Linked DNA regions of Canis lupus familiaris. The protein of the gene in region 1 interacts with the protein of each later gene in a pairwise test. Links are inferred from orthologs where the notes say so. Each region holds a gene or a part of one and is shown in the gene's direction. Other genes may lie near its edges. The genes, in order: HSF2, WDR5 and NUP62.

Region 1 (2,883 bases):
AAACTTGTACTGCTTCATTTTATAATGATTTTATGATGAATATGAGGTAATCACAGGATATAGTATGTTTTTTACACCATTTAAACTTAACCAGCAAGCAACTGTCTGGAACTTACGGCTATTTAGGGAAAATTATGAACCTCTGCACCTCAGTTTTGAACATTATTGAAAAGAGCATTGAAGAACTAAACAAAATTAAAGGTTTAATCCCCTTTGCAATCAGATGTGAGGAGAGAAGACAATGGTTCAAAGAAGCAATTTAAATGACAGAAAAGAACTGAAAGAGTCTCAAAGGAAATGAAGAAACTTCACCTCAACTTTGAGGCTTCCAAATATAGAGATAATAGTTTTAAGGATATCACCATGTAATCCTGACCCACTCTAAAAATGTTCACTATGCTAAATATTCTGTTTGTGAATGAAGAGAAATAAGTAATATACATTTTTAATCAAAGCTGTTTAAGATGAGTTTAATTGTTTAAAGAATCATCTGTTAGTTTGAAACCAGCCATCTTTGATTCATTTCCATCTTTTACCTGTGACGGTGCGGTCTGTTCTTTTGAAATGCCCCCTCTTTTCATACTTAACTGTCATCCTAGTTCAGGTTCTTTATTTCATCCGCTTGATGACAGCAGGAGTTTTCTTAACCAGTCTTACCTATTCAAATCTGTTTCTCTTTCTAGTTCATCCTTCCTGGTGCTTTCCCCCTTCACCTGTATTTCAAATAACACATCAGTGCTCACATACTGTATCAGTTTTTTATTTTTTGCCATTATTAGGAATATATAAAATATGAAACAAGAATTTTTTATATTATTTTTTCTCTTTTAGTCTGAGAATAAAGGATTAGAAACTACCAAGAACAATGTAGTTCAGCCAGTTTCAGAAGAGGGAAGAAAATCTAAACCCAAAACAGGTAGGTATAAATGTAGTATTAGTTTTTACAGATTTTTAAAATTAAAGAGTCCTACATAGAAAGTAATGTGAGCCAAGGAAAGTCTTGCCATACTTAACGATTGAACACAGAATGTACTGTTCTCAGTTCTGTGCATAACGTATCAAGGTTTCAGCTTATAGAGAAAATTAAATTGGTGAGGTACTAGTTTAAGTCCTTTTTAAAAAAATTAACTTTAGGAGAACTTAAAGAACTCTATCTTAATAGTTGGAATAACAAGACTTAACTTTTCTGACTAGTACATTTTAAAATTTACTGACACCAAAGTATCATATTTCTTGTTTGGGTGTATAAGGGTACTGATTGCATATATGCACAGCTGTTTCCATTTTTTCCACCTTCAGCTTGAACTCTGTATAAGCTGGTGATAAAAGAGCATTTTTCTAATCTTTATTATAGATAAGCAGCTTATCCAGTACACTGCCTTTCCACTTCTTGCATTCCTCGATGGGAACCCTGCTTCTACTGTTGAACAGGGAAGTACAGCATCATCAGAAGTTATGTCCTCTGTAGATAAACCCATAGAAGTTGATGAGCTTCTGGATAGCAGCCTAGATCCAGAGCCAACCCAAAGTAAGCTTGTTCGCCTGGAGCCATTGACTGAAGCCGAAGCTAGTGAAGCCACACTGTTTTATTTATGTGAACTTGCTCCTGCACCTCTGGATAGTGATATGCCACTTTTAGATAGTTAAATCCCCAAGAAGTGGACTCTACATGTATATATTCATCAAAATGATGAACTATTTATTTTAAAGTATCATTTGGTACTTTTTTTTGTAAATTGCTTTGTTTTGTTTAATCAGATACTGTGGAATCAAAAGCACCTTTTGCTTTTCTTACACACTCTTGCAAAGCTTTCAGATGTTACTCAGCTACGTAGGTACATAAGACTTAATGCACATTGTTGGCATATCTTTAAGTTGGATTCAAATGGCCATTTTTCTCCAGTTGTAGTAACTTGGATTTCTTTTTTACATATATGCCCATTAACCCCAGTTAAACTTTTGTTTGTTTTACTTGTTTGATGCTGTCTGTTTGCATTGAGTGTTAAGTCACTAGAACTAATGGTAGAACTCTTAAAGCTTTATCTGTTCCAGTTACTTTTATTAAATATTTTTCACTTGGCTTATTTTTAAAACTGGGAACATAAAGTGCCTGTATCTTGTAAAACTTCATTTGTCTCTCTTGTTCAGAGAAGTTCATTCATGTTCAACAGGAAAGGCAAAGTATACATGAGTGCTTGCTGTCAGATATGGCTCCAGCTCCACATACGTAGAAAGAAGGGGATGGGATGGCATCAACACCATCCATCTCGTTGGACTAGTTTTAAGTAAAAGTTTTCTGATTTGTTTGTGTTTTTTTGAACCATACTATTTAGTAAAATAAATATAATGAATGTTGCGTACTAGTGTCTGTTATGTGTCTTCTTTAGAGGTGACACCCACATAATTTTTTTTTCCTTTTTATAGGAAGTAGGTAGGCTTAAATTGTAAACTGTCTGTTGTCCATTGAGTCATACCAAGAAATTTGTGCCCCATCTCAAGAGATAGACTGTGTGTATTACAACAAGAAGGAATATAAGGTCTCTAAACTTAATGTGTTTTAAAGTTCTGTGTTAAAAGTTATACTCGCTTGCTTTCTATATTTCTAATAAAGAACCAAGAGAAGTATGCCTCTCATTGTCCCAAATGAGGTAAGAACATTATCACTGGATGCCACCCAAAGGCCTGTGATTTTTGCCCCTAGAGAGACAAACAGTTAAGTCACTTTCTCCTTTTGGACCAGTTGTTCAAGAGGCTTACAGAGGCTTAATGCAAGGCGGGCACCTCTTTTATCAAGTTGAATTCCACCTTCAGGCACAAGGGTGGAAGCAGTGCAATTTATATTTGAATACAAATTAAAATAGGGCCTTCCTCTTGGCCATATTC
Region 2 (3,648 bases), on another chromosome or scaffold:
AGAGCCATGGCAACGGAGGAGAAGAAGCCAGAGACGGAGGCCGCCAGAGCACAGCCCACCCCTTCCTCCTCGGCTACGCAGAGCAAGGCATGTCCCTGAGGGCTTGAGGGGAACTGCCAGGGGCGCCTAGGCCGAGTACTCTTCAGAGATGCTTCTTCCAAGTCTGTTCTCCCTCTTCAGTTAGACACTGTGTTTTTATTTATGGGCCACAGACCTAATCAGTGCTTGTTTACCGTGCTGAGGATCCCCAGACCTGTCCCCCGGAGAAGGGGCTTTATCACAACATAGATCCTTGTTCCTGATCGTAAGATCTCTGCAGCACCCAGAAAGCCTCTCATACAGCATCCCCCTGGTCCACAGTTCTGGTGGCCAGGCAGGTTTGCAAACCCCTTTGCTGGACACCAGGCGGCACATACAGGCCTTTGAGCAAGGCTACAGCCTTCAGGTTTGCTTTGAGGGAGGCTGTGCTTGCCGGACTTGGTGATGCGTGTCGGACGTTGGGGTGGGGTCAGGCCTTGAGGGGCCTCTGTGTTGAGCTGTCCTGGAAGAGCTGGGCACGAAGGTGGGGGCTGCAGGAGAAGCAGGGCTGCCGAGGGGAAATAGCCCAGATTTAAACACGACCAGTTGGAAAGGACTTCCAGAGAGTTCTAGCAGGATTTGGAACTTAGAAGGTGGTTCTGAGTTTGAAGCAAGGTGGTGGTTAATGGTTTGATGACTAGTATTCTCTCTTCAACAGCCTACCCCTGTTAAACCAAACTACGCTCTAAAATTCACCCTGGCTGGCCACACAAAAGCCGTGTCCTCCGTGAAATTCAGCCCGAATGGAGAGTGGCTGGCAAGTTCATGTACGTATCACCAGGGCCTCCGCTCCTGTCAAAGGTAGTCTGTGCTGCCACCAGAAGCCCGGAGCAGGGGGAGGGCTTGCTTTCTGATGCTGCCACTGGGGTGTCGCAGGGGCTGGAGCCCTTTACGTAACACTCTGAGATGATGTGCTCAGGGGAGAGGGGAAGGGTACTCCGGTGCCGGCTACTTCTTTCCATGGGATTTGCACTGTTTCCAGGGCTCCTGTTGTGGGCAGCCCGGATTTTGCCCTTGGGGTGACTGTACCATCACAGTTATTTTGTCTTTCTTTTTTTCAGCTGCTGATAAGCTCATTAAAATTTGGGGAGCATATGACGGAAAGTTTGAGAAAACCATATCTGGTCACAAGCTGGTAGGTTCATCCCTGCACGTGGAGGTTGCCCACTGGCCGCCTTAGCCCCACTGGTGGGTGGGGCCCATCCCCAGAGCTCAGCAGGTTAAGGTCTAAGCTTTCCCCCGGAGTTTTTTGGATAGTTCTTTGCTTTTTGTCTTTTTTTTTTTTTTTTCCTTTTGTCTTTTAAGCAAGTACTTCTGACCTTCCCAGACAAGTTTCTGCCTGACTGCAAGAGAACACACTCTCCTTTGGGGACTGTGCGGTGTTTCGTCTGTGTGGTCAGCAGTAGCTAGAGGGTTTGGGTAGTGGAGTGAGGTGCTTATTTATCTTTGGATGGATGTTCTGACCTTTGCTGGTTAACTGTATTTTGTCCTGTCAAGGCGGTGACCCTGTGTCTTTGCTCCCCAGGGGATATCAGATGTGGCCTGGTCATCAGATTCCAACCTCCTCGTTTCTGCTTCAGATGATAAAACCCTAAAGATCTGGGATGTGAGCTCGGTGAGCTGCTCTGCCCAACCCCCGCCCCGGCAGAGCTTGTGTGCGTGGACAAGGGGCAGGGCGGGAGTCCGAGGGGGGTCTGGGGACCCTGGGTCATGGGGTGGCCCTGCTCTGTGGGGTATGTGCCATTGGGCCGCTGTGGGCTCAGCTTTGAAATAACCACTAGGACTAACAGTCTGACGATACTTGGTTTTAGGGAAAGTGTCTGAAAACCCTGAAGGGGCACAGTAACTACGTCTTCTGCTGTAACTTCAATCCCCAATCCAACCTCATTGTCTCGGGCTCTGTAAGTCTAACCCCCCCTTCCCCTGGGGTGTTGTAGGGGTGTGGGGGTGTGGTACTTTGTAGCCAGAGACTTAGGAGTTGAGCCTGAGTCTTCTCTGCTGGGGGATGGGGGCCGTGGTGGCAGGCCTTGGGTTCCAGAAGACCTGTCCTCTCCCACCTCCCTGTGGAGTGGCCTTAACCTCTTCCTTTGTCTTCAGTTTGACGAAAGCGTGAGGATATGGGACGTGAAAACAGGGAAGTGCCTCAAGACTTTGCCTGCACACTCGGACCCGGTCTCAGCTGTAAGTCCCGCTGAGCTCTGGACACCACATGGCAAGACAGGGTGATGGCCAGAGAGGGGGCACTGGGGACCCCGAGAGAGTTCTCCCTATCCTGGGCCCGTGAAAGGAGAGGCAGGCGAGGGGTTTGGTCCCTGAACCAAATCCTGTGGGACAGGTAGGGCAGCCAGGCCTGGAAGAGGGGCTGTGTGTTGGGAAGTGTGGCCACAGAGAAGTGAATTTGGAGTGGAGTTGGCTTTGATCCTGGGGTGGTGGTGGAATGAGCTGGGGTGAGCTAGCCGAGGGTAAGGGCTGGGGTGGGGGGGGGGTTGGAGCCCCACGAGCACCCTGTGTGTGCTGTGTCCTGCCTTGTGCACACGCTAGCAGTGTGCAAGATGAGGTACGTAGTTGAAGTATCTGCTGTAATACAAACCCTCCATTTGAAAGTGGCCGAGAGATTTTTTTCTTTGTCAGCAGAGCCTAGACTTGTTTCTTAGCCAAGTTTGCCTTTTTTTGGAAAGGGGAAGGAATCGTGTAAACATTGTGCTTATTTTTACTGAGCAGATGGTCCTTTTCACTTTCTGAAATCGTGTAGGTGAGTGATTTTAAGTATTTTCAGGCAATAAAGGGCTTTTTTGCCCAGCTGAGACCATTCGCAGAGCCCAGATACATGGAGGACATGTATTACGTGTTGGTCGCAGTGGACTGAGGGGCCCTCGCTGCCCAGAGTCCCGGCCAGTGTGGATGGGGCTCATCCTTGGGGGCCCCGAGGAAGGCAGTGTGCTGTGGAGAGGGGGCCTGGCCCACCTGGCGCTCTGCCCTCTGCCGTGGACCCCCAGTCCCAGGAGAGCTGACTTTGAGATGGGCATGGTGGTGAATGTGGGCAGGACCCAGGATGCAAGCTGAGTGAAGGCCAGGAGTCCCAGCAGTGCGAGGTGGTGCGGGGGCTGTGGGTGGGACCCTCAGCCTAAGTGGTAGGGTTTATAGAGTCTTTGTTTTCTGTGGAAGTGAAACGTACTCATTTTTTAAAAAAGACAAACGGATGCAGTGAAGAGAAAGTCACTCTCCTGAGCCCTCCAGGACCCCTGCTGGTAGCCCCCCCCCCCCCCCCCCCCCCGCACGCCCTGGGTATTCTGATATTTTAAATATGTGCTATCTCCCACCATCTGTCCTGTAAGTGGTGGGGGTGACCACAGCTATTGTGCGTCCCTGTGGGAGGGTTTCTCGGGCATCTGTGGTGTCCATAGACCCCCATGGGCAGTGGGCACTCTGTGCTGGGGCCTTAGCAGGTGCTTGTTCGTAGCTTGCATTTCTCATGGAGGAGTGCGATGAGCATCTTCGTTGGGCCACTTTACCCACCATGTGTTTCTGCGGTGAGCTTTAGGAGGTCATCATCGTGTGAAAGAGGTTCAC
Region 3 (4,325 bases), about 45 Mb from region 1:
AGAACTTGTCCCAGGACTCTGGGATCACACCACCTGAGCCAAAGGCAGATACTTCTCCACTGAGCCACCCAGGTGCCCCTCTTTGGGCCCCACTTACTTTTCTTTAGAATTCCCAAGCCCTGTTCCTTCCTATACAAAAACCTAATGGTCTCCCAGGGGAATTTCCTTAAGCCCTTCCCTCCCACCTCACAAAATTACACTTCATTAAAAAAAAAAAAAATCAGGGCAGCCCGGGTGGCTCAGCGGTTTAGCGCCGCCTTCAGCCCAGGGCCTGATCCTGGAGACTCGGGATCAAGTCCCACGTCGGGCTCCCTGCATGGGGCCTGCTTCTCCTTCTGCCTGTGTCTCTGCCTCTCTCTCTCTCCTCTCTGTGTATTCTTATGAATAAATAAATAAAATCTTTTAAAAAAAATTTCAATCCCAGGAGAATTTTCTTCCAGCCACACCCCTTCCTCTAAAGTATTTCCTTTAGGCTCCATCCCATCTAAACACTCGGCTCAAAAATCAGCTCCCAGGGATCCCTGGGTGGCGCAGCGGTTTAGCGCCTGCCTTTGGCCCAGGGCGCGATCCTGGAGACCCGGGATCGAATCCCACGTCGGGCTCCTGGTGCATGGAGCCTGCTTCTCCCTCTGCCTGTGTTTCTGCCTCTCTCTGTGTGACTATCATAAATAAAAATTAAAAAAAAAAAAATCAGCTCCCAGGGGAATTCCCCCAGCCCTGCCCCTCCAAACCGTGGTCTACTAAGTCCCACGGCTTCTTTTTAGCTTCGCGGTGACCGCCCCAGTCCCTTCCCGTCCAATTACCTTAGCCCCCCACTTCATTCCCGGGGATACCCCAGAGGCCCCGCCTTCTCTCCGTTGAAACCCCACCCCAGGTAAATTTGCTTAACCACGCCCCTTCTCACGATAGACCCCCGCCCACCCGTCGCAGCCGCTGATCCTAGCTCCACCCCCCTCCTTACAGGTGGCCTCTAAGCCTCGCCTTCCGCCCTGTCAATCTGAGTCAGCCCCACCCAACCCCGCCCCAGCAGGTGCCCGAATGAAACATAAATTGTGTTGTGCGCATGAGCAAGGTGGAGCTCGGAGACGGGAGCCGGCCGGCGGAGCCACACGCCTCTCTCGCAGGGCTAAAGCGCATGCTCTGCCACTGATCCAATTGTTCTCTCAGGCCTGCGGGGTTGGGGAGTCAGTGCGCATGTGCAGCTGCTTACTGCCCGCCCTTCACTCAAAAAATACGGAGTCTGGTGGGCTTGTGCACGTGAGCAACCGCTCGCGGACAGACTCATTCGGGGAGCGGGGGGCGACCCCCGCTCGGGGCTAGTGCGCAGGCGCACTGCGTGCAGGCCATCTTTAAACTCCAGCATTCTAGGGAAGAACGTACCCTTCCCCCACTGGACCGAATGCGCATGCTCGGCCGCGTGCCAACGACGCGTTTCCCTCTTCTGCGCCTGCGCGACCGTGATTCCTCACTCTCGTCTCCCCACCCCCCAGGCCTGGTCGTGAAGGCCGCGAGCTTCGAAAGGGCGGGAAAGGCGGTTGGAGAGGGAGGGGCGAGCGGTTACTCACTCCATGGCTACGGAAAGGAGAGGCGGCGGCAGCCTCAGCTGAAGAAAAGAAGGCGGTAGAGAAGAGCGCAAGCGCGGTGAGCGCGGAAACGGGCCGGGACACGGAGGGGTCGCGGCTACAGAGCCATAGCCGGGGTTGGGCGGGCGGAGATGGCGTCTCGGTAGCCTGAGAGGAGATTGTGATCTGTGGATGGGGAATGAGGCGGCCCCGGGGAGTGGGGACAGATATACAGGGGATGGCGCAGCACGGCCTCCCCGGATCCATCCGCGCCCCGCCCCGCCAGGCCCCAACCGGGAGGCGGGCCTGGCCTCTCCTCTCGGGAATCCTGGAATCCACTCCCCTCCTCCTCCCGACGCGGAGTTAGGCCTTTTCCTTCCTCTGACCCGGGGACCAGCTCCGTCTTCCTACCCCAGGGGTTCCGGCCCCCGTCCTCCTTCCAACTCTGGGGTCCTGTTCTCTGTCTCTCTGACTCAGGTCCCCTCCCCCCCAATTCTAGGGATTCGATCCCTCGCCTTCTCTGAGACCTGCCCTAGTTCACTTTTGGTTTCTTTTGCCCTAGTTCTCGAATTTCCGGCCAGCCACATGCTGGACTCCTATCCCCAAACTGCCGCCCCACGCTAAGAACCCTTTTTGTGGGTTAGACTCTTGTCTGAGTCACAATGAGACCGCGCGCGCCGTTCAAATCTCAGACCTGCGATGGTGGCCAAATAATCAAGTTCTCTAGTCTCGTAGATCGAGAACTGCCTGTAAAATGAAGAAAATAATCAACTCTGCCTGATGAGAATCAAGTCGATGCCTGTGAAACCCAGAGCCCGGCTCTTAATTGCCTATTTAATGTATCTTATTTTTAATAGGAACTCTGGGGTTGAGTCTCAACCATACCTCCTGCCCTGGCAAGATCCCCAGACATTTGACCATACAATAGCTGCTAGTAGGTCATTCTTGTGTCTTCTTCACTTCTTCAAGGTGTCAGTAATTGCCAGACATCCCCACCTTTCCCTGTTCCAGATGATGGACGCTCACCCGCAACACCAGCACAGTTGCAGAGAAGCAGGCATCATCACCCTGACTGTAGCTTTTCTCCATCCTCTGCCCACCTCCCATCAGCCCTTATCCTTAGCCCTCCTTTCAGGCCAGTTGGTTCTGCTTCAGCTGCCCCCCACTGGATCAGTTTACCAACCCTGCCCCAAAATAGGGAGATCTGCACTGCCCTTTGCTAAAAGAGAGGGGGCTTCCTGGCCATTCCCTCCTATGCACTAGACCCTCCACTGGCCCAAGTGGGTATGGGTCTTTACTTCCCACCTTGCATCTGTCCACAGCAGGACACCTAGAGTTCAACTTAACATCACGGGTGGTGGTTCTGAGGTCCAGAGAAGGTGGGGGAACTCTGATCTTGAGACTTATTTGGGAATGAAGATAGCAGGCTTCAGTTGCATGCAGGAAGTCCTTCTTGGGATCTGACCACTTTCACTTAGAGCACTTACTGTGTACTGTGCCAGTATTTGAAGATTTGACCTATAGGGGCTAGGTTATTACCTAGGCAGCATGAGTAGCAGTTAAGTGCAGACTCTGGCGCCCAGTTTTGGGTTCAGACCTTGTCTCTACTCCACTTATTAGCTTACTGTCAATTTCTTTTTTTCCCTGTGCCTCGGTTTCCACTACGTTCAAATCTCAGACCTGTGATGGTGGCTACATTATTTTATCGCTACGTTTCTATTAACTCCATATAGAAACTTAGCGATACATGTGGCAGCTAACAGTGCTTACTTCTGGGGTGCCTGGCTGGCTCAGGCGTGTGACTCTTGATCTTCAGGTTGTGAGTTTGAGCCCCACATCAGAAGTAGAGTTTACTTAAAGAAATAGTGCCAGGCAGCCTGGGTGGCTCAGCGGTTTAGCGCCACCTTCAGCTCAGGGCCTGCCTGTTCCTGGAGACCTGGGATCGAGTCCCACATTGGGCTCCCAGCATATGGAGCCTGCTTCTCCCTCTGCGTGTGTCTCTGCCTTTCCCGGTGTCTCTCATGAATGGATAAATAAAATCTTAAATAATAATAATAATAATAATAAGTAGTGCCTACTTAGTACTGTCACAAGGATTCAATGAGTTAATTCATAATTCAGGTCAAGCATTTAGATTAGTCCTCCTTTCTGCCCCCCCAAATCTTAAGTCTTCTAAAAACATCTAGTATGTACACATGGACTAGGCAATTTAAGTAAATTTTTATTTTAGAATAATTTTATTTTTGGGCAGCTCCAGTGCCCCAGCGGTTTAGCACTGCCTTCAGCCCGAGGTGTGATCCTGGAGACCCAGGATCGAGACCCACGTCGGGCTTCCTGCATGGAGCCTGCTTCTCCCTCTGCCTGTGTCTCTTCCTCTGTGTGTGTGTGTGTTGGTCATGAATAAATAAATTAAAAATCTTTAAAAAAAATTTTTTTTTATTTTTACAGAAAAGTTACAAACATAGTGCGGAGAGTTTCCATATACCCCACATCCATTTTCCCTGTTGTTGACCTCTTTAACATTTCTGTGATATATTTGTCACAACTAAAGAACCCACGTCGGTATGGGATTTTAAAGTGCACACCTCATTTTGATATTCTGATTTCACTAGTTGTTTTTGTTTTTGTAGATATTTACTTTAGAGAGCACAGGCAGGGGGAACAGCAGAGGGAGAAGCAGGCTCCCCACTGAGCAAGGAGCCCTACCCAGGGCTTGATTCCAGGACCTTGGGATCATGACCTGAGCAGAAGGCAGATGCTTAA

Evidence for each region.
Region 2: the proteins of HSF2 (region 1) and WDR5 interact in binary tests that used the Homo sapiens proteins (3 or more experiments, as listed by UniProt). The two-hybrid records come from large-scale screens. The link is inferred for Canis lupus familiaris from reciprocal best matches to the Homo sapiens genes HSF2 and WDR5.
Region 3: the proteins of HSF2 (region 1) and NUP62 interact in binary tests that used the Homo sapiens proteins (3 or more experiments, as listed by UniProt). The link is inferred for Canis lupus familiaris from reciprocal best matches to the Homo sapiens genes HSF2 and NUP62.

The regions. Positions count from the first base shown.
Region 1 is NC_049222.1:62,382,224-62,385,106, forward strand, and holds the end of HSF2 (heat shock factor protein 2), read left to right. Parts: intron 1-831; coding exon 832-916; intron 917-1,354; coding exon 1,355-1,647; 3' UTR 1,648-2,360; downstream 2,361-2,883. UniProt on the Homo sapiens protein: DNA-binding protein that specifically binds heat shock promoter elements (HSE) and activates transcription. In higher eukaryotes, HSF is unable to bind to the HSE unless the cells are heat shocked.
Region 2 is NC_049230.1:50,410,335-50,413,982, forward strand, and holds part of WDR5 (WD repeat-containing protein 5), read left to right. Parts: 5' UTR 1-6; coding exon 7-87; intron 88-736; coding exon 737-845; intron 846-1,139; coding exon 1,140-1,213; intron 1,214-1,603; coding exon 1,604-1,693; intron 1,694-1,889; coding exon 1,890-1,979; intron 1,980-2,175; coding exon 2,176-2,259; intron 2,260-3,648.
Region 3 is NC_049222.1:107,310,785-107,315,109, forward strand, and holds the start of NUP62 (nuclear pore glycoprotein p62), read left to right. Parts: upstream 1-1,508; 5' UTR 1,509-1,641; exon of another isoform or gene 1,642-1,859; intron 1,860-4,325. UniProt on the Homo sapiens protein: Essential component of the nuclear pore complex. The N-terminal is probably involved in nucleocytoplasmic transport.